3 linked regions of the Struthio camelus genome follow. The protein of the gene in region 1 interacts with the protein of each later gene in a biochemical or structural test. Links are inferred from orthologs where the notes say so. Each region holds a gene or a part of one and is shown in the gene's direction. Other genes may lie near its edges.

Evidence for each region.
Region 2: of the proteins of RB1 (region 1) and CDK1, one has a biochemical effect on the other in vitro, tested with the Homo sapiens proteins (8 studies listed by BioGRID). The link is inferred for Struthio camelus from reciprocal best matches to the Homo sapiens genes RB1 and CDK1.
Region 3: of the proteins of RB1 (region 1) and CASP3, one has a biochemical effect on the other in vitro, tested with the Homo sapiens proteins (2 studies listed by BioGRID). The link is inferred for Struthio camelus from reciprocal best matches to the Homo sapiens genes RB1 and CASP3.

What each region holds. Positions count from the first base shown.
Region 1 is NC_090942.1:192,180,340-192,188,022, forward strand, and holds the start of RB1 (retinoblastoma-associated protein), read left to right. Parts: upstream 1-4,650; 5' UTR 4,651-4,765; coding exon 4,766-4,881; intron 4,882-5,293; coding exon 5,294-5,411; intron 5,412-7,683. UniProt on the Homo sapiens protein: Tumor suppressor that is a key regulator of the G1/S transition of the cell cycle. The hypophosphorylated form binds transcription regulators of the E2F family, preventing transcription of E2F-responsive genes.
Region 2 is NC_090948.1:36,164,407-36,171,587, forward strand, and holds the start of CDK1 (cyclin-dependent kinase 1), read left to right. Parts: upstream 1-4,075; 5' UTR 4,076-4,368; intron 4,369-4,906; exon of another isoform or gene 4,907-5,014; intron 5,015-5,131; coding exon of another isoform or gene 5,132-5,182; exon of another isoform or gene 5,183-5,261; intron 5,262-7,020; 5' UTR 7,021-7,163; intron 7,164-7,181. UniProt on the Homo sapiens protein: Plays a key role in the control of the eukaryotic cell cycle by modulating the centrosome cycle as well as mitotic onset; promotes G2-M transition via association with multiple interphase cyclins.
Region 3 is NC_090945.1:51,139,246-51,146,380, reverse strand, and holds the start of CASP3 (caspase-3), read left to right. Parts: upstream 1-4,029; 5' UTR 4,030-4,415; exon of another isoform or gene 4,416-4,434; intron 4,435-4,901; exon of another isoform or gene 4,902-5,057; intron 5,058-6,998; exon of another isoform or gene 6,999-7,022; intron 7,023-7,135. Other genes in the region: PRIMPOL (DNA-directed primase/polymerase protein), read right to left, coding at 790-983, 2,247-2,334. UniProt on the Homo sapiens protein: Thiol protease that acts as a major effector caspase involved in the execution phase of apoptosis. Following cleavage and activation by initiator caspases (CASP8, CASP9 and/or CASP10), mediates execution of apoptosis by catalyzing cleavage of many proteins.

The sequences.
Region 1 (7,683 bases):
GCAGCCAGTTTAGCCCACACAACATCGTTATTACTGCGAGGGCATGTAAAAACCACCTGTTCATCAAAAAGGGGGCTACAACAGCCTGCGAGCTGAGCTCGTTTCACCCCACCACACCTGCAAGTCAGGTTCAGGCTTGCAAGGCAGAGCTGAGGTCAGCGCAGTTGTGAGGCAGCGTCACCTGGAAAGGGATGTGCTAGTGAGTGCTAAAGGCCCAGCTAGAGCTAGAGCTAGAGATGTAGGGCCTCCACCAAAATGGCTGATGGAGTTGGTCACAGCCCCCCTTGTTGCTCACCCTGGTAAAGCCTGCCTGTGACAGGAAGGGAAATGCAGTGTGATTCAGGTGGGTAAATGGCCACAGGGTTGTACTCCCCGGGGTGGCTGCTGAACGTGGAAGATGGAGGAAACCAAGGCAGGCTGAAGAGTGCCCTGGCTACATGTAAGTGGGTGCTCTGGACCCTGTGCTGTCACTAGCCCTAGAAATAACAAACAGAGATACAATCCAAGCTGAAGCCTTCTCAAATACCAAAGGTCATTTAAAATGGCTAGGGTACCATTCCTGTGGAGAACGGCAAGCTGCACAGCAGCAACTGGTAGCAGACAACGCACGCGGCACCAAGAAACTCCTTCTCCCATTTGTGATCTGCGCAAAACTCCCTTTGGTTTCCTAGGGGAAAAAAAAGACACTATTTATCCCCAGGTAATGCAATCTCAATCATTTTCTTCCTCTAATTTGCCATTGCTTTTGTCTAGGATAATTCTTGAACAATATTTTCATAATCTGTGAATTTTACAGCCTAACTGTATAGCCATTATTCAAGCAAAAATTCTGTCATTAATCAATACTAGCACTAATATCCAGAAGATCGCAGTCTAGTGATTTTAGTAGAAATACATTAATTTCATGTATCTCCAAGAAGAAATGACTTTATCAGAACTCTAGCTTAGGTGGTGGATGTCGATCTGTACTAATGCAGAAACAAGCAGCTAGTCCTGATAGACCATGAAGTTGGATGAAATAAAAATGAAATATTTCTGGTAGAGGGAAAACTTGATTTCTGAAAACTAAAGAAGTTGCAAGTTACTAACATGCCTGAGCATTAAGGGTCAGAATAAAAAGGGTTGGTTTTGCTTATAATGAACGCATGGTTTCCATTCCCACTGGCAATTACTGTGAAACTATAGCAACAGTTTTTAAGTTGAAAAAAAGAATTAAGATGATAACATTACTTAAGATTGTTTAGCAGCTGGAAACAATGAGTCAGGGCTGCCTGACTGGGCTATGTTTCAGACTTCCATCTGGCTATGACCTGCTCTTTAAAAGCTGTTGTAGCAAGATATTTAGAACAAAGATATTGTCAGGCCAGATGAGAAATTATGATTAATGCTGTGACCTTGCAGTCTTTTAACTTTTTTTTTTTTCGAGAAGAGCTGCTTTTTTCCTTCCTTTGTCATTTTATTCAAGAGTCCAAAGGCTCCATTTAAAAGAAAATGACTTAAAATACAAGGTTAAATGACTTAAAACCCAAGGTTAAAACTATCAAATCAATGTATCTAACAAGGAAAAAAAAGCAGCAATTTACATCTAATCTTACATATGCATGTGCTTTTTTTAGGAGGTACATACATGTACACATGCGATCTTATTGCAGTTTAGATGTAAAGTTAATACAGCTGAGGCTCTGGGATGGAGTGAAGGTTACTGTAGCTTGATTCATCTGCTGCCTCCCCGCTGCTGCTGCTGCTGCTCCTCCTGTTCTCATAAGCTGCAAATTTAAGCATCTACGAGATATTTTTGGTTGCTCCTGCTTATGGAGAGTCCTGAGCTCTCGTCGCTTGAGGAGAAGGCGCATAAAACTTGATTCAAGAGGGTGTTTGACACACGGACAATTCTAGAAAGTTAGTATTTGCCCTGGCATTGGTTGGCAGCCCTTTAACAGGGCCCGATGTTCACCAAGTGGTAACGCACAAGGGGTTACGAGAGCAACACACATTCCTTGCCCGTTGCTCGGATGATCTTGGGCTTGGCTATGAAAGTGTGTGGAAGCAGCTAGGAGGGAAGCTGCCCAGGAGGGCAGGTTTTCCTCTTGTGGACAGCTGGGAGGGTCTGCGCTGGCTGTGACCGCGTTTCGGGTTGCTTTGCTCTTTTGAGCTCATAAAGCCCGTCGTGACGGAAGGGCAAGAGACTCGTGTGGTTTAGCTAACCACACATGGAGGTTTAGCTAACCACACGTGGAGGTTTAGCTAACCTTATCTGCCTAGTTGCCTACAAATCTTCAGCTGTAGGTGACATCTGTAGTCCTAGCCTCTGAACCTTTGACAGCATCTGGTGTCATCTGATTACAAGAAATTCCTTAAATATGCTTAGAAGGGTAAAGTTACAGTTTTGCTGGAATTATGGTAAGGAATGTCCTACTGCAGTTTACGAATGAAACATTTCATTTGAAGTTTATGAACCTTGACTTGCCTCAGAAATCCCATTGGTTCTGTATTCACTTTACTGTAACTTGTTTAATTCTAATATGAATCAGAAAAATGGCCTGTTCTGCTATTTTTAAGTGAAAAGTTAATAAAGAAAAAGCCATGCAAATCAATAAAACCTGTGACCCTTAAAATACTGCTTTTTTTTAATCGTTTACTGGTAGTGCTCACATTTTGTTAGTCAGATTGCTATTAAACTTTTGGATTTAAAACTGCTTGCTTTACAGATGAATGATCAATGCAGACATGTAAGAGTCCTTCCATATCCATGTCCTCAAATATGTTTTACTTTTTGGAACAAGTTGCCACCGCAGAAGCCTGACAGAAAATGTGCTAACTGGCAGCAGAAATGGGCCATCTCCCAGCGGGTGGGCGACTGCGGACAACAGGGTTAATTCTTAAATCCGTGGATCAAAGACTGAGGACTTTTTTTTTTTTTTTTAAACCAAACATAACTGCAACGCACACTGTTAAAAGTAGTATTTTAGGTGGGACTCGGATGAATATCCAATTCAGAGATTGTCATGAAGGACGTGGTCGTGAAGAGTTGTGCTCAGTGGCACAGAGTCTAGTTGGAGGCCTGTAGCTAGCGGTGTCCCCCGGGGGTCAGTCCTGGGTCCAGTCTTGTTCAATGTATCCATCGATGACCTGGAGGAAGGGACAGAGTGCACCGTCAGCAAGTTTGCTGATGACACTAAACTGGGGGGAGTGGCTGACACACCAGAGGGCTGTGCTGCCATTGAGAGGGACCTGGACAGGCTGGAGAGGTGGGCGGAGAGGGACCTCCTGAAGTTCAACAAAGGCAAGTGCAGGGTCCTGCACCTGGGGAGGAAGAACCCCATGCACCAGGACAGGGCTGGGGGCTGACCTGCTGGAAAGCAGCTCTGCGGAGAAGGACCTGGGAGTGCTGGTGGACAACAAGTTCAGCATGAGGCAGCAATGTGGCCCTGTGGCCCAGAAGGCCAAGGGTCTCCTGGGGTGCATTAGGCAGAGTGTTGCCAGCAGGTGGAGGGAGGTGATCCTGCCCCTCTCCTCATCCCTGGGGAGGCCTCACCTGGAGTCCTGTTTTCAGTGGTGGGCTCCCCAGTAGGAGAGAGACATGGCACTACTGGAGAGAGTCCAGCGGAGGGCTCCAAAGCTGAGGAGGGGACTGGAGCATGTCTCCTCTGAGGAAAGGCTGTGAGAGCTGGGCCTGTTCAGTCTGGAGAAGAGAAGACTGAGAGGGGATGTCATCAATGTGTACAAGTATCTGAAAGGGGGGGGGTGTCAAGAGGATGAGGCTGGACTCTTCTCTGTGGTGTGCAGTGACAGGACAAGAGGCAACGGGCACCAAATGAACCACAGGCAGTTCCATCTGAACGTGAGGAAGAACTTCTTGCCTGCGAGGGTGACAGAGCACTGGAAGAGGTTGCCCAGAGAGGTAGTGGAGTCTCCTTCACTGGAGATATTCAAAAGCCTTCTGGACAGGGTCCTGTGCAACGTGGTCTAGAGGACCCTGTTTGAGGAGGGGGGTTGGACTGGATGATCTCCAGAGGTCCCTTCCAACCTCAACCGTTCTGTGATCCTGTGATTTGCCATTTGTGAGGTGGGAAGTTTTCCTCGACGGCAGCGGCCCTAAGACAGCAAGAAACGGGACAAAAGAGGGAGGGGTTATGCTGCAACTGCTGAAAAAAAAAAGCTTCAGGCGGGATTTGTAGCGGTGTCCCGCTGCCGAGCAGGGGCTGAGCGCCGGCTGCCACCGCGCCCGCCCCTGCGGTACCTGCGGGGCGGCCGGCACCGCCTCAGCGGGCCGCGCCCCGCCCCCACCCGGCACGGCGGGGCGGGGCGGGGGCGGGGCCCGCCTTGGCGAGCCCTCGCTCTAGTTGCCGGGACGCACGAAGCAAAGGCAGCTCCTATTGGCTAGCGTGAGGCAGGAAGCGCGCTCATTGGCTGAGCCCCCTGCGCGGGCGGCTTCTGCTTCCGGGTTTCCGAGCGCAGACCGCCGCCGCCGTCGTCGTGCCGGTCTGCGTTTCGAAGGCGCGCGTCCCCGCCGCCGCCCGGCAGTGAAAGGAGGAGGAGGAAGGGGGGGGGATAGAGCGGCGGCCGCCGCCGGCCCGGAAGTGACGACGGAGCGGCTGGCGGTGACGCGAGGGTTGCCGCGGTTTGAGTGGCGGCTGTGCGCGGAGGGGGGAGGGGCGCCGAACCGGCCGTCGGTCGGTCGACCGATCGGTCGTTACTGCAGCCCTCGGCGGGCGTTTAAACGGCGGGGCCCAACGGCCGCCCTCGCGCGCGCGGCGCCGCCGCCATGCCGCCCAAGCCCCCCCGCCGGGGGGGCGCCGCCGCCAGGAGCCAGCGGGCCAGCCCGGAGAGCGGCTCCAGCAGCGCCCCGCCGCCGCCTGCCGCCGCCGCTGCCGCCCCCCGGTAAGCGCCGCCGGGCACCTGCTGCGGGGAGGGTCGGGCGGTAGCGGCGGGGGCTGGCGCTCCGAGTAGCGCGTCCTCCTCAGCGGGGCGTTCGTGGGGGCGGGAGGGGGGGAGAGAGAAACTTTAGCAAGCCGTTAGCGTGGCTCAGGTGCCTCCCTGTACATCTGCGTGGCTCCGGCTGCCTGTTGTTGTGCTGTCTTGAGCTCTCTGTATACGTGCCCGGGGGTTATTTTTCTTCCTTAGCTCCTGTGTGGCTTGCAGAGCAGAATGGCCTTGCCAGAGAGTGATGCGTCAAGTCAGGCTGCATCAGAGTTGCACTTTAATGTTCTGTAACCCCTGTTGAGGTGTGTAGTCCGGTAAATTGGTGTGTTGCACTGGGATGCTACGAGTAATATTTTCCCCTTTTTCTTAGGCTTGAAATTGGAGAAAGTGACTTTGTTGTACTCTGTGATGTTCTGAAAGTATCAAACAATGTGAAAGAGAAAGCTTGGAAGACATATGAGAGCTTATCATCTGTAGATGGATCTCTAGTGAGTACCTGGTATCTGTAGCTCATAATTATATTGTAATAACTGCCCTGTATTTGAGTTCAAATATTAAACTGTAGCTTTGCTTGACTGAGGGCTTGGTGACTTGCAGCTGATGCTCGTGCAGTGTCACTCCCCTACCTCCCCCCCCCACCCCCCTGGGCAGCCTAACTGAAGTCAGATGTTACTGTGTACATATCTGCACAAAATAGTTTATATACCTTTACCTTTTTGTTAATATAGCCTAATAAAAGTAGGGAATGGTGAATTCTTTCAGCTTAACAATAAATGACAGTAGAAAACAATACCATGTGATCATTTAATTCTTCAGACCACAAGCTATTTCAAATATGTCTGAGTCATTTTTATACAGATCATCTGTTTCTCACCACCCACTGCCCTTAATGAGGTTGCCGAAAGGGTCTGGACAAAAGTGTTACAGAAAAGTGATGTTGGTATATTTAACTGCCTTTTCTTTTTTCACTGCACGCTAATGTTAATCTGGATGCAGTTGTGACTGAGGTATCTTCAAAGTTAGTCATTGGGCATGTGTAAATGTTATGCCCTCCCTTCATTTTTTTGCTCAGTGAATTACTGCTGGCTGAATAAGTTGACTCAGACAACAGCTACAGTACAATTAAATCGTGACTGAAGCTTTGTTATGCAGATCTGAGTTAGAGTTTAAAATACCCAGCTTGGAAACTAGCCCTAGTCTGAGGTCTAGCATAGGCTAACATCTATGTCTTTGTTGCGACTTCTGTTTATTCTTCTGTATCTTGAACTGATCTGTCAGATCTCATTTCCTGTGCTTTTAAAATTGCAGTATGGTATACTAGCTCTTGATGTGTTTGTGAGTTTTAGAACACAGTACAGTAATGGTGCTGGAGAGAGACTGTGTACGGCTCTTGCAGTAACAAATACAATTTCTGGCCTTGGGTGTCCTCAGGGTACATATACTCCAAAGCATAGTCAAGCTTCTCTATGAAGTGAAACAGAAGTAGTTAGTCCTATTCAGTGAGAAAGCCAAGACAATTTTCAGTATAATTGTGCATATTTCACTTACTGTTCACTGCCTGGCAGTGGCTAGATAAGACACAGGGCATTTGAAACCCTCCTGTTTGGTATCTGAAGATGATCTCATATAGGATTCAGAACAGGGCAATGACTAGATCTTCATTAAGACATTTGACTAGTATTTATTGTCCTGTAATTAATGTACAATTGAGGCCTAGCCTAAGAGCCTTTCAATGTATAGGGAAAAAGTCTGCATTATATTTTGGACCTATCCTGGACACTATCCTCAAGTTTCTGACACGTCATCAGGGTGTCAAAATAAGGAAACTGGCAAGCGTATGTCTCTTCTGGGAGCCTGGCAGGCCCTGAGGTTGCTACTTCTAGCTGAGATCAGTGCAGGCCTTATTTGAGTGTGAAGTCAAATTAACAGCTTGGCTGATAGCTGCTTCTCTTTCCAAGTCAAGCTGTTGTCATGGGGAGCAGGGCCTCTCGCTATGACAGACTGGCTTTCTGGTTCAGGTTGTGAGGACTCTGGAGGAGGTTGCCTAAACCACTCACTCCTTTCTCCTCTAGGGGAAAGATAATGTGCTTAAAGGGGCTGCCCCTGTGTTTGGCCTGCAAGCACCAGCTGTTCAGTGCTAACCTGTTTAATTCTGCAATAGGAGAAGTTGCATACATAGCTGCTTTCTGTTCTGAAGTGAAAAGGGAAATAGCAGGACATAAGTCTAGACAAATGCCTGCCAGAACACTCCTGTTTCACCTCGTATCTGTTTTGACTTTAGGAAAGTTAAACCATCAGACCATTGATGGAGCAGAGCTGTCATGATTCTCAACCTGTTTATGGAGCATGAAGACCTGAGCGCTTCATATTCCCTGGCACACTGGCCTGTGCTCCCTGGTTCATTTCCGAATCCTCCCTGCCTTGTCTCCAATGATACGGAGGGGACTTGATGTAGTGTCCCGGATATAGGATATTGTGCGAACTGGCAGAGATTCAGGGTGCAAACATGGTCTTAGACTTGGTCTAAACACCTGGTATAGCCATGCTCAATGATTATTTAGTGACTTTAACAGCTTTAAGAATTTTTGTTGATCTCTTCCTGTTGGGAGGAGAAGGGTTGGTAGCTGTTGCTCTCTGAAATGAATCTTCAGTGCCATCATCCACTGAATCCACCAACAGCACCAAAACTGTCTGAGTTGCTATTTTTTTCCTTTAAGATGTTACACTTTTTCATGCTCATGTTTTTTCTTTTGAGTCCTT
Region 2 (7,181 bases), on another chromosome or scaffold:
GCTAATGAACCCTCCGGACTACAGCTACACAGAAGTTCTTTCTTTAGCCTATAACATTTTTAAGTTACAACCAGATAGAATCAGTATCACATACTGATAAAATCATGAGGCAAGTATCAGACAGTACATGGAAACTTTGAGTAATATCTCCTTTTCAGAGCACCACCCTAAGTATGTCCCTAGAGAATAGCTTCCTGAATTTGTTAGGAACTACTTCATTATAAAGAGAGACTAAAGAAAAGATGGTACCTTTTTCTCTGCCACAGATCAGCAGGAACTGAAGTTGTAAGTGGATTAAATAAAACAAATTACAATGTTACTAATTAGCTAATGCTAAATTCATTTTTGTAGGGCGCCACCTTCCCCGAAAGGAAACTGGATGGATTTGTTCAAGATGCTAATAAGACTTGGCAAGATTTTAACAGTATGCAATAACTATGTGAAAAACAAGGTGGCAAAGACTGACATAAACAGTGAAAGCCTCTTAAGAACTTCACCACAATAGTTATTAATGTTTTAATAAAGCAGTTTTCTTTGTTGCCCCCATCTTCTTTACCCACTTTTCTCCTCACATATAATACTTCTTTACATACAGTCATACTTCCTTCCAATGATAACAAAAACATACAGTGCAAGCAACTATCATTTTCCATGTACTTTATGTGGATGTTTATGTAATTTAACTGTTCAGAGTAAAAGCTATTAGCACCAACACCAGGGAGTACATACAAGTTATCAAAGGACTAGTGAAGTTCAAGCATTTCTGATCTCATTTCTCCACTGAAGAGGTGAGAAAAGGGTAAGGAGTCTTTTCTTCATTATTTCCCCACCCTCCAACACCACTGAAAATAGGAATTATCTGCCCAAGAAAGAGAGCAATGTGACTTTTGTTTCATTCCCTATATTTGCCTTCCATTCTTTCTTCCCTGAAAAATTAATCTAAACTAGTTTCATCACATTAAGGAAAAAAAGAGAAGGTTTAAAACTACCTTGAAATATTTATTTTGGAAAAGTCAAACCTCAACATTCTCATTTTTCTTCTCAGACATTTCAGCATCATATGTTACACATCTTAGAATTCAAGCATAAAACAGAAATATTTGCTACTACCCTCATGCCCAAGGTTCTAAGCCTTTTCCATAGGAGCAAAGAATTAGCTAAACGCCATGAGCTGTTTCAAAGTCTTCCTTGGGCCAAGTCCTTGTCAAGCTCCCTTAAAGAGATGAAGGAATTTTGCCCGATTAAAGATTGCAAAACCAAGCTTTTCTCAGAACTAAAGCAACATGCCAGCTCTCATTTTGTCATCCACAGATCCATGCCAAATAACTGTAAGTGCCATTGTCAACAGCTTAGCATGAGATCTAATGTACAGGAGCAATACTCACATTTTAGACAACACACTGGCAAAAACCACCTTTGATGAGTATTCAAACAATAGATTAAATTAACAGTTTTCACACTCTCTGAAGAGCCTGGCACACATGTATCTCAAAATTTATCCCGGAAACCAGAGAACGGTAGAAGAGAATCCCAAAAAACTTTCAGGTAGAAGGAAAAGCAGGATTAAACTGATAAAGACGTAGAAGAGAACCAGAAGGGACAACAGTGACAGAAAACTACCTATGCCAAGCATTTATCTGGAATTGAAACTCAGTCTGGCCTGCAGACTGCAAAGATTTCTTTTTAGCTGCAAAAAGAAAATTGCCCTCAAAGATTCCAATGATTAAACAAATTTAGGGTTTTTTTTCCCCACAGCAACAACATGGTTGTAACTGTGGTCGCACAGATTTGGAAGCTTTAAAATAATAAAATATTTCACTCTTAAGATTGAGAACTTATGTGAGAATTATTCAGCTTTCATATTTGAACAGAGCTGGGGTTTTTCCTGCCCTACACAAGAATAAGATAACCATCTCCTCTCTTTTCCAAAAAGGCATTGGTTTTAAAATTAAATTGCAAACAGTATTTTAAAAAAAACTTTAACTTGCAAAATTTAAGAGCTCCTCCAAGCTTTAGACAATCCACAAACTTACTCAGTACTGTAAACTCCCCAAATATAAACATTACAGGACAGAACAGCACTGTCAGTGACCTACAGGCATAATAAACTTCCTGTTAGATGTTGAATTTTAACAGTATTTGTAATGTTGACACTCAGAACTATAATAAAAGAATTAGAACTAAAAAAGTATATTCTACCCTTCCTGTTCCTTTTTAAAAAATATATACTTCTGAGTAAAATTTTAGAATATATTAAAGTGAAATAAGTAGCAGTCATCCTAATTATTAACAGCTAAGCAGTACAGTAATACAAGAATATTTTTAATTGCAAGCTATTTTCTTTCTCATGCTGTTACAGTATTTCTGACTCACTCTGTAGAGTTTAGAGGTTATCTTGGAGCAAAACTGGAAATAGAGTTTGGAAAAAAGAAAAATACTTATCTACAAGTAAACATGTATGTGAATTGTAAATTATAGCACTAAGATATAACTCACTACCTTAATAAAAGCATATAATTAGCAATAAATTAGGATTTAGAAAAGACAAGCAAGGTGATATTTTTTCCATTAAAAAAGGAAAAAAATTATCGGGCAAGTATCAATAGAACAACGGCATGCAACAGCACAGTATCATTCTGCAACAAAAATCAGGAGATGCACACTAGCAAGTTCTCGTGGAAGGTATTTAGGCAGAGTGAGATTTATGATAGCAGAGACTATTCTCCTAGCAACTCACTAAAAATACCAATGCTATTTCAAAACACATCCCCACTTCTAATGCTGCCCATTAAAAAATTCAAGATCTATACACCTTTAATACCCATTGCGGGGGGGGGGGGGGGGGGGGGGGAAGAGATTAACATTTAAGAACCTGACCTAAAATTATTTTCAATCCAGTGGAAAGTTCTGCTGGCCTTGACAGTGTGGAAGGATGTAAGGCTGCAGAACTAGACCCTGAGGGCAAAGCTGAGACTCCTGAACTGTTCTAAGACTACTCCAAGGCCAAGATGCAACATGTCCAGCTTAGAGACAGAGAACTATCATCTTCTTTAAAAACCTCACTGCTTCAATCCTTTAAATGTAGCCTAGATCATGAACCTTTCAGAATAATAAGTTTGGAAGTTGCCTACTTTGGAAAAATCTGACAAGTCTCATTTAACCTGTATATCCACAAGGCAGATAAAAGAAGTGAAGCAAAAATGTCTTGTGTACTGACAACACAGGAAGTTCTGTCTTCTCATTCTAGGAGCTCTCATTGATGAAGTACAGGGCTCAAAACACGGAAGTCACAAGCAAGGGGAGGAACAGCCTGCCAACCTGGAACTTAACCTTAGAGGACTTCAAGAGGAATGCTTTAGTCTAGCCCACTGCTCCTCTTAGGGCTGTTATTTTATGGTTAATTTTAAAGCATGAACTCCCAAAAGATTTAGAGGGAGAAACATGAAAGACTAACATTCTACAACAAGAGAGAGAACCTCACAGAGCAGATGGGATCCTAAGTGCAGCAAAAGTGCTGTTAAAACCAGGACGGTTTTATGGTTCCAAAAGATACTTTAATCAAAAAAATTAAAACACAGTTTAAAAAAAAAAAGTGGGTGGTGGGGAAGAAAACAGAGTAAGTTTTATGCACCCTTGATTGAACTATAGCTTAAATCTTACAGTTTTCAGTTTTGGTTTCAGAAGCTCTGGGCTTATAGCCTTAAGAAACAAAATTTGCATTTACCACACTTTTTCAATCATTTTAAAACCACATTTTAAAACTGGGAAAAAAGTTATTTAGCTGGTCAGACATTGTGTAACATGCAGAAATGTGTTCTTTCTACTCTAAGGACACTAGTATTTGCAGTTAAAACCAATTATGCCATTTGTGCCCAGCTGGAAGAATGTCAGACCAGCCCACTTCATTGCAATATAAGGCAGTGTTTTTGGGAGTGCAACACACAAAAATGATCACATTCACTACATAAGCTACATACAACCTTGTAGCACAGTGCTTTTATCAGACCCTAGGGCCTGGGTCTAATCACTGAAGAGGATGGATGGACTTGGGAGAAAGAGCCTTCCTGTAATTTCCCATGTAGTTATGGGTGTGTTGAAGCAGAGCCTCCCACAGCACTTCACCTTTCCAAGTGCCAGCTACCACCAGCAGCAACCACAGGAGCTGCCTGTATTTTAACCCTCTTGCTACTGGAGTCCTTTCATATGGTATGCATACCCTTATTCATATTATAGCATCACGATGGCATGGCATAAGCCAGCAGCAGCTTGCCTTGCACTGTCATTCATGAGACAGGTCCTGCTGCTGGCTCTGCAATCAGGCGCTGAGCAAGGAGGAAAACGTCCCAAGGGCAGCTGAGAACATTTCAGGTAAGGGCATCTCCATCCAACAGCCAGGCTACTGTTTTATGACTTACGTGTTGGAAAACCAACAAGAAAAGCAAACTGAATACACTCACTAACTACACACTAACTTGTTAACAGCTCACTGGAGCGCGTTACTCCTAAAAGCATAAATTAGCGTTGCTCTGTTGTTTTAAGCGATCCCAAGGAAAAAGCGAACGCTTAGCAACCTGTAACGCGACCCTGCGAGGCACGACCTGCGCCAGCCGCAGCCCGACGGGCGGCTTCGGCACGGCGCGGGCCGCTGCCAAGGGAGAGGGGGAAAAAAAGTGAGGAAAAGAAAGAAGAGCGGGAAGAGGCAAGGTCCAAGGAGGGGCGTCAGGTTTTACCGACACAGAGGCAGTCGCTCTCGCTCACACCCGGACGCTTAAGAGCGGAGGCAAAAGGCGTCTGCGCCCCGCCGACCCCCGCGGGAGGCGAGCGGCTCCTGTGAGGGACGTTTGAACGCCGCCGCTTCCCTCACACCTGAGCGGCGGCCGTTGGGGGGGGGGGAGGGGCTCCGCGCGCCGCCGCTGAGGGGGAGCCGCTCGCGCCGGCAGCGACCGTTAACGGCCGCAGCGGCGCGAGCCCGGGCGGCGCGCGCGGAGGCGGGAGCGGGCAGGAGAGAAGTGAGGTGAGGAGAGGCGCGGCGCGGCGCAGGAGGGGACCGCCCGCGCCCCCCGCCCGACGGGCCGGCCTGGGCCGCCGTGCTCCAGCGGGCGGGCGGGGGCAGCGAGGGCTGCGCGCTCACCTGGTCTCCGCCGCGCCGTCCCGCGGGGGAGGAGGAGGCGGCGGAGGCCATGTTGCGGCGCGTCCAGGCACTTCTCCCACCTCGCCGGGCCGGGCCGGGCTCGGCTCACCCCGCGGCGGGGCGGGCCTGCCCCTCGCCGCCCCCTCAGGTGGGGCCGGGCCCCGCTCCTCCCGCGGCAGGGGGTGGCCGCCGTCCCGTCCCTGTCCTGGGCCTCCTCACGCCTGGAGCCGGTGCTTTATTACGGAATCAAAACCCCGCCGTTTTCCGCCCAAAGACAAATAGGTGCTGGGGGCACCTGTGGCCGCGGCCCGGCCCCACCTGCGCTGCCGCCCCCTTTCCATCCACAGCTCACTGCTCCTCAGGATGCAGTTTTCGGGGACGGAACTCGAGTTTGCTAAACTTGAAAAATAAATAAATTAGTTAATTATTAATTAATTAAATGGCCTAGCTAGGTGCTAATATATTCCTTACCGCAGTTAAATGGTAGCAGCTGGTTTTCCCACGATGAATACTACAGTGCTGATACGTTAAACCATAATGCAAACTCAGAATGCCTGGGGCTGGGTTGGGTGTTGTGAATCAGTCCGGGTTGGTTTGGTGTTTCGTTTTTGTTTTCAATCAAGGCTGAAGACTATAAAGCCCAAAGCGCCCAAATGAGCTGTGTTGATTAAAATAGCCGTGTTTGTTGTTTGGTGGTGTTTGTGTTTTGTGAATGCCTAGTAAAATATTCTAGAATGGCCTTGCTGAAGTTTTATTGTATCACAGCTTTCAAAATTGCAAGAAGTATTATATAAGGTATTAAGGTTACTTTAGTTTGGAGTTAAATGCCTGTATCCTCTCTTCTGTACTTTTTTTCCCCCCCCTTTCAAAAGCCTCGTTCTGGTACACCAATCTGTTTTTCTCTTTGCGTTAGAACTCAATACCAGAATTAGGAGAGGTTAAAGACAATCCATTTTACCACGCCTTAACTTACCTGGAAACATTGTAGCTAATAGTTTAATTCACTGATTTTCTACTACTGCTGGCCTTGTGGGCACAATGTAGAAAGTGGATACCCAAATGTATAAGCTGACTATAGCTGTTCACGTGTCTTGAAGATAGTGCCTAACTAATTGCTTGTCACTCTCTCTGTAAAGTGCACGCATTGGTTCTTTGTGCATAGAGCCAAAATAAAAGCATTTACCTGGACTGATGATACAGCTATGTCTGATACGGATAAGTTAATTCTCAACTGCTGACTGGGATGGTTTCACTGGTATAGAGTGCAGCACATCCTTGCAAGCATGCTAGTACATCGGATTAAGTATACATCCCAGCCTGGGATAACTGTTGAGGTCTCAGGATTCTTCTTATTTAATTTCTGTCTGTCTCACAAAAAAAAAAACTGTCAGCAGTACTTCTCTTTCTTGAGAACAAGGATCAATTTTCCCTAGAATGTCTTTTTCCCTCTTATTTTGGATGTGACTCATTTCCTCAGCCCACTCAGGGAACTGTGAGGCAGGAGAGGAAATGGGAAGAAAGGATCACAATATCCACATTGGCTAAAAGAAAACATGAAGCAAGGCTGCTCACGTTTACTGATGAGAGAGGTACTATCATTGGCAGTGGCAATTTGCAGCTCTGAGGTGGGGCCACACACTTTTTTATAGTGCCTTGCATACCACTAGCCATCACTGTGTGCCACCTCCCATCACTCTCTGGAAATAAAATGGTGACGGTTAAAATGGAATTTTCAGATTGTAAAAGAAAATAGCACCTTAAGGAAAAGGTTATTTTTACTGTAAGGGAAACGCATATAATATTCCTACTTAAATAATTGATTAGGAGGAGGATTTCTGAACAAATTCAGGTGTGATGTGTACATCTAAATCTTCGGTGCGTTTCCACAGGGTTGCATACTTGGCTTGTCTCATCTGCATTCTCATCTGCAAGAGTACACCTTCATTCTTGGCAGCTGGAATGACACCCTGAGGGAAGAAAAAGAACTTCCTTTACTTCAGGAAAGGTTTCAAGTCAGACTTTGCTGAACGAGGTTTGGAATTTAAATGTG
Region 3 (7,135 bases), on another chromosome or scaffold:
CCAAAAAAAAACCACTGCTGAGCTGGTGAGAATATGTTTAGGAAAACCAACTGTCAGAACAGTCTGAAAGAGACTGAGAGCAATAGCCTTCCAATAAGTTATTTTAAAAGCCCCCAAAGTCACAGTATCTGACTATTTTACACTCTTAATGTAACAGACCCCGTATCTCCTGCAGCACGGGACAACAAAAAACTGTGCCTTTTTCACATGTGGGGAACTAGAGGCAGCCTAAAACTGTCTTGTCCACAGCCAGCACAGGAAATCTGTGGCAGCAGGACATTTATGTGTACATCCTTTTAAGTGAATAGATAGCAAAAAATAGTGCCTCTTGCTGTTGAGGCTTTGCTTCCAAATGCTTACCCAATACACAAAAATATATATATTTTGCTGAGTTTCTACCTCTTTTTTCCTCCCCCCTCCCCCCCCAATATTTTCTCCTCTTTCTTCCTACCTGACTCTCTTTACTATTCTCCTGCTAACCCTGCCAGCTTGCTTATCTTGAGGAATAAATCTATCACTACAATGTTGCCAGAAAGCACCTCTGCTGTTTCAAGCTAACATCACATATCAATTCTTATTAGAGTACAATTCTTATTATCTAGTACTTATTAGAGTTCACTTCAGTGCATCATGATCTTCTACAAAGATCAAAAAAATTAATTGACGTTTCAGGTTTTCAAAACAAAAGTATCCTGCAATCTGCTAAAGACTTTACTATTAACCAGGCTTTTAAATGAAATCAAATATTGAAAGTACTCAAAGAGCAAAGACATTTAACAAACGATGTACCTCTTCACAGGTTTTTACATAGTGAAAAGCTTCAGCCTGCCGACAAAATATTTTCCAAACAGGGGATGGTTGAAAAGGTTTGGACAGCTTTGGTCTGTAAACTGGAAGAAGAGGGTTTCTTTCATAGTGAGATGCTAGTTCTTCAACTTTCTTCAGTCTTTCTTCCCATTTTCTCTTCATTTCTCCTAAAGCAACTGCAAATAGCCAAATCAGTATCAATTTCTGTTTGTGATTCAATTGTAATATACCCTATGCCCACCTCTGCTTTTGATTCTTTATTTGTTGAGCATTCATTATTTATTCACCTAGTATGGCCAATATTCAAAACCAACACCCAATTTAACTATGATAGTCCTTCCTTAACATTTAATCTTTCCACGCAGTTCTGGTAAAGATCATTTATTTTCATATTAATTCAATCAAAGATCAACACACAGAAAAGATGAAGTAAGGGAATGCACAAGAAGTTTAATTTTGATTTACAGAACAGTATTACACTCTGTACAAGAGTACACAAAACTGTCTTAATTAGCCTCACATGATTAGTAACGAGTGCAAAAATGCTATGGTTTCTGCTTTATGGCAAATACTTTATGGCTGGAGAAAAAAAACAGGGTAATTGATTTATATGGGTAATAAATCACTTGAGTTCCTAAGCAAAAATTAAGATTTCAGTGACCTAGCTCTGAGCTCTGTGTCTCAAAGTAAAAGAACTGAAATCCTAAATGAGTGCTCCATTCTCTGATGCTGAACTTAGCTATTGATCAGTAATAGTTTCACCTGCTTTAAAAATCTCATGTTTTCTGTGCTTCCTTGCAAACCTAAAATAGCAACCCTGTCTGTTCTCAAGAAATGGTATGTGACACAGTAATGCTTGCTGTCATGCAACCTTTAACATAAAGGGATCCACATGCTGTAAAGCAACGTAAAACACAAAAGTACCTAAACATAACAGAGGTATAATTATTTGCAAGTTTTACTACCTTTTTTTCCTGAAAAAAAATTATTGCCATTCAAAATGCCTACAAATGATTAAGAACATTCCTAAAAAACTGAAACAGAAGAAGAGGGAAAAGGAGTGGAAAAGACTCAGATGCATCTTTTTATTCCATTTAGGATTATCACTTAACCAACGCTTGGTACACCTAACAACATGCCACTTGCAATAAAAGAGAAAACAAAACTAACTATACTCAAAAGCCTTCATACCTTTAACAGACTGGATACGCAAGGTGAATTTAAATATTTAAATATCCCTGTGGGCACCAAAGCCCAAATTCTACATCCTCTGAGTCCCCCTCCAAGTTTTCCACAGCGAAGTGTTCTGGACTCCAGCATTTATGCCCATGGTACACTTAAACCTGCCTTAAAGGTTTAAAGGTGTAGTGCCCAGGTCAAGCCTAAACAACAGAATGCTTTTTCCTCTTACAGGGGCCAAATATACCATGTCTGCAGACCTTGACAGCCTGTTGACCTATGAACTTCCTCCACTCCCTTCCTCTTCATGCAATCAATTTCTTCCTTGGCAATGCAAAGAGAAATCATAGATGGCAATCAGCATTTCTCAGAAGCAGCAGAACCTTTGGTTTCGTTTTGATACTGTTTGCGTTGCTGTAAATTAATTCAGTGCAGAAGGACAATAGAGATTCGCTACCTCAGCACCCTCCCACAAGGTCACAGTTAAAGAGGAGGGAGGCAAAGGAGAATTCCCGTAATCCTACACTCATTTTAAACTTCCTATTTAGGAATATTTTTTGCAGAAACAATTTCTACAGGGATACTCGAGTCTGAGCAAAGGATGATGCCTCTTACTTTAAATTGAGATCTGTCACTTTTTTTTTCAGTCCAAACGTTCATGGATTCTCAGCAGTCCAATGTCTCAGGTCTTTCGAAAATAACTTCAGCTCCTATACCAAATATACCCAACGTAACACATCTACTTAGAGCATGTACAGTTTAGACCTACAGACTAGTAAGCCACCTGAGTTTACATGGAAATTCTGACTCCGTTTTCATTCAGTTCCTTCCCACCAGAAGGAATGGGAATAATTATATTCATTTCACTCCCCAGAAAGAAATTTTGTCATCAGCATGTTTGTACTTCACTGTTTTTGATAGCATATGAAGACATTCAGAAAACATATCTCCCGGGAGATCACAAACTCTGCATTTCATTTCCCCCTTTGATGAAAGACTATCAAAAAGCAAGCAAGTGCCTATTTCGACAGGTTGGAAAATTTAGTTTTTGATCTTGAATTTACCCTGCTTTTTGCTACTAAAGGTCAATATACGAATAAGAAAGTAAACAACTGACCCTAAAGTTCATAATGAAGCAGGAACTACCTCTTACATTCAAACAGCTATTGCATAAGAGCGCATGGCAGGGCATTCAGATTCTAGTAAGAAGGGATTCAGACTACATTCATTGCTAAGCTGTACAATTTCCAAGTTTGCATCACGTAGCCATGGGAGATAAAATCCATCATAAGTGGAAGGGCCTGCTCTGATACAGTTCAGTATATCTGTATTTCTTCTGATCACTGAAACCAGAAAGATGCCCTCTCATATGCTATTCATCCCCTGCAATTTATTTACGATCATAATCAACCACTTGTTTGGACTGCCAGAAACACATTAATTTTTCAGCACACAGAAGAACTGAAACAAAACACATATCCAGGTTACGCAAATTCAAACACAAACAAGCGGTATTTCCACTGCAGCGTACAGAGGAAACAACCAAGTTTTATGCTCAGGCAGCTGTAAGAGGCCTGGTACGCAACGCAACTTAAAGCCTGCTTGGGCACTTCCGCACTTGCGGTGCAGGTGTAATTCAGGCACAATCACAATCAAAATGCATGACTGCTAATTTGTCACCCATGTGCCAGCACAGACTTCATTAGGTTCTCTGTAAGCTACAGCAACGACCATATTTAAACACTTCACACATTATCATGGTCTGAATGTTATAAAACACCAGGGAACTCCGACTAGGTTTTGAGATCTTTATGCTAAGAATATAAGGACCTGCAGTTTACCAGCACGACGTAACTGGTGGTGGTAACAAGAACATCACCAGGTCCAAACATGAAGAAATTATGAGTGACAATTCGGGCGGGGCGGCGCCCGAAGAGCAGCAGCAGCGCGCGCCGCCGCCGCCTCCTCCTCCTCCTCCTCCTCCTCCTCACAGCGCGGCCGCGCACGCACAGCGGCCTCCTCCCCCCCCGCCCCCCCCGCCCCGCCCCGGCGAGAGCCGGCAGGGCGGGCGGCCCCTCGGCCGCGCTCCCAACGGCCCCAACGGCCGGGTTCACCGCCCCCGCCCTCCTGGCGGCGCCTTCCCGCAGCGCGGCTCCCCCTGCGCCCCGAGGGGCGATGAGGCCGGGGGGGGGGGAAGACCCCCCCCCGCCGCGGACCCCGACTCACCGCCGCGGGCCCGCGCGCGGCCGGCTGCCGTTGGCGTTTGAGCGCGCCGCCGTTGGCCCGGCCCTCCCCCGCCGCCGTCCCCTCCCCGCGCGGGGCGGAGCCAGTGAGGCCCTCGCACAAGGCGGTGGCTCCTTCCCTCGCCGCCCAGCCCCGGGAGAGGAGGCCAGGTCGGGAGAGCAGCGCCGCGCAAGGGGGACGAGCCGGTGGGTAAGGGCGGCGGAGGTAGGCGCGGGGTTTGCCGGGCGGGCGGGCCCGGGCGCGGCGGCAGGGCCGGACAAAGCGGCGGCGCCCTCGGCCGCAGGCCGCCGGGGCAGGAGCAGGACAAAGCGATGCCTTTGTCCTGCCGGCGGCTTTTGTTATGTTTCGTTAGAGCGGAGCGGTGGCCGCGGGGCAGTTACCTCGAGCACACCCGAGGTGGCTGCCGGCCCTGCCCTTTCCGCTGGCTGGGGAGAGCGTTGCGAGAGCAGCCCCGGCGCCTCGGCGATGGGCTGTGGCCGTGGCCGTGGGGGGTGGGGGACAGGAACACCTGGATTGGGGTGGATTATTGATTTACCAGAAGCTTAAAACTAATCGTTTCTTATTTTGATGGGAGCATTTGTGTGTGTGTGTGTGTGTGGAAAAGATTACTAAACTTAAAAAACTACTTTCCAGTGTCCCTCTGATAGACTATTAACTGACTTGAAACCTAGGGCCAAAAACTGCACTTGGATTTACCAAAACAACTCTTTGGAGACAGCAGGTCAAGTCTTGTCCGAAAAACGGCAGTTCAGTGACCCAGTTCTTAACAAAATGCTGGATGTGTGTTAGCTAAGATTCATCCTGAGATCAGATTCACGAATGCGGTGGTAAGAGTGTTTACTTGCCTCTTAACGTTCTGATCCTGCAAATACAGGGAAAAATATCAACATACTTGAGTCACTCACTTGACAGAAACTGTTACCCTAAGTTTTTATAGCATGTAGATGTCCCTGTCCAAGGTATTGTCGGTCCGTTCGCTGCTAGATTGAAGGATAGTATAGGTAATCTACTCTTTGATTCTCCAGCTAATAGTTGTAGTTCTTCTGAGTTTCTGCTTGTGGTTAGTAGGCAGGCTTAAAAATATACTCTTTGCCCCTAGCAGCCGATCAGGCTCCTTAACGTTATTGGTTGTGGTGATAATGTAGCTAATAGGTATAGATGGATGAATAAGCAAAGGCCCTGTGTATTCTGGGAATAAATTTTCAATGTGCTGAGTTGACACATCAATGCTGATTAACTAAATCTGTTTGTCTTTGGAAGATCAGACTGCTGGCCCGGTGTCAGTGCTTTTCAGCAACCACATCCAGGCTAGAAGCAGCGTGAAGTGCTGTCACAATATTGGCATGCTTCCATCAAGGGAAGCAGCATTTGATAATGGTGTAATATCACACAGAAAATATGATATTTTTCAAAATTTTTTTTGTTTTTTCTTATAGACAATTTATATATTTTCCTTCTGCTATTATCTAATTATCAATATACATTATATAATGTAAACTATTAATTTTGCATGTCTGCATTGGTATTGCAATGTTCCTTATCCATATACATTAAAAAAAGCTGCCTTGAATGTTTGACGTTTTCTTTTGCAAGCATGTGAGGTGGAAAACTGTGCCCTTTGGCAGTCTTTATAGATACGTTTTATGATCTTGGATTCCGTTTGAGACATGTTTTTGTACTGCTATGATCGTTGCTTTGTAGCAGCTGGCTTATACTGAACATGTGTTCTCTTGTCTGCTGTGGTTTGCATATTTCAGGGTATGGTTGGTAACTAGAGATGGGTTATTTGCTTCCTTTCCTGTCTGAGAAGCTTTGGTATTATTTTTATCTCTGTATTGTTAACTTGTCTCGTATGGCTCAATATTCAGGCAAGTATTATTTTGAATAAAAATTTGATGGTTCTTATGACAATAGTGATAAAGATTATGTGAATTTAATTTTGTTAGGTTCAGGTGGAATAAGAGGCTGGACTAGGGTAAACACATTTTTTTTATTTATCATTAGTCTGTCAAAAGAAAAGAATTAGAACAATTGCATTTATCTAGGGCAAAATATATTTTTGGTTTTATTGCTATACATATAAGCTATTACTTCAGTCATTTCTCAGAGCTTGCTGACAGCTCTAGATTTTGGACCCCTTTCAAGAAGCTTATTCTTTACTGCTTAATACTTCCAAATATGATTGTAAGATTATCTTTATTTACACCTTCTATCCCTGCCTCACAGGATTTTTAAATATTATCAAGTTTTTCAAATAAAATAATGTAGAAAGAGCTATCAAAATAAGCTTCCTAAAACTTACAGAAAATGTTCTGCTAGATTAAAAATGCTGTTGTTCATCAGCTACTTGATCTTTAAGTTTCCATATAGTTGAAAGCTCTTCTCACCTAAGGTTTTAGAGAAAAGAATATCAAGGAGCAGAATAACAACTTTAATTAAATTCTTAACATATTTTCCTGAAAGGTTTCTCCCCTGCCGCTCACCATCCCTGCTAGCATGAGATCATCCTCTACAGGGAAATGTGTATTCCACTTGAGAGAGCATGACCTCATTGCATTACCTAAACTAGGATGAGGTAATTCTTAGTACTCGGTTAGAATCAGCGTTGTCCTCTGACAGCACTGCTGCTACTCTGACGTTAGTGCTGTAGGGCAGAAAAAGTACTGCTGATAAAGCGTGCATTTGAGAGCCCAGCAATAAGACAGGTACCTCTTTTTGGATATCTTTTGTTCTTTAAAGAAGTACAGGTGAATTGGTGCTTTAAGGTTCTCGAAAGTCTATGGAATTTAAAGGTAAGTTACAGATTCTATTCTGAAGATGAGGCAGATGAATTTGTAAATGCGTAATGTTCAAATATTAAGCAAGTGGGCATTATACACAGTTTTTTCTTCAGTATCTCTCCAGC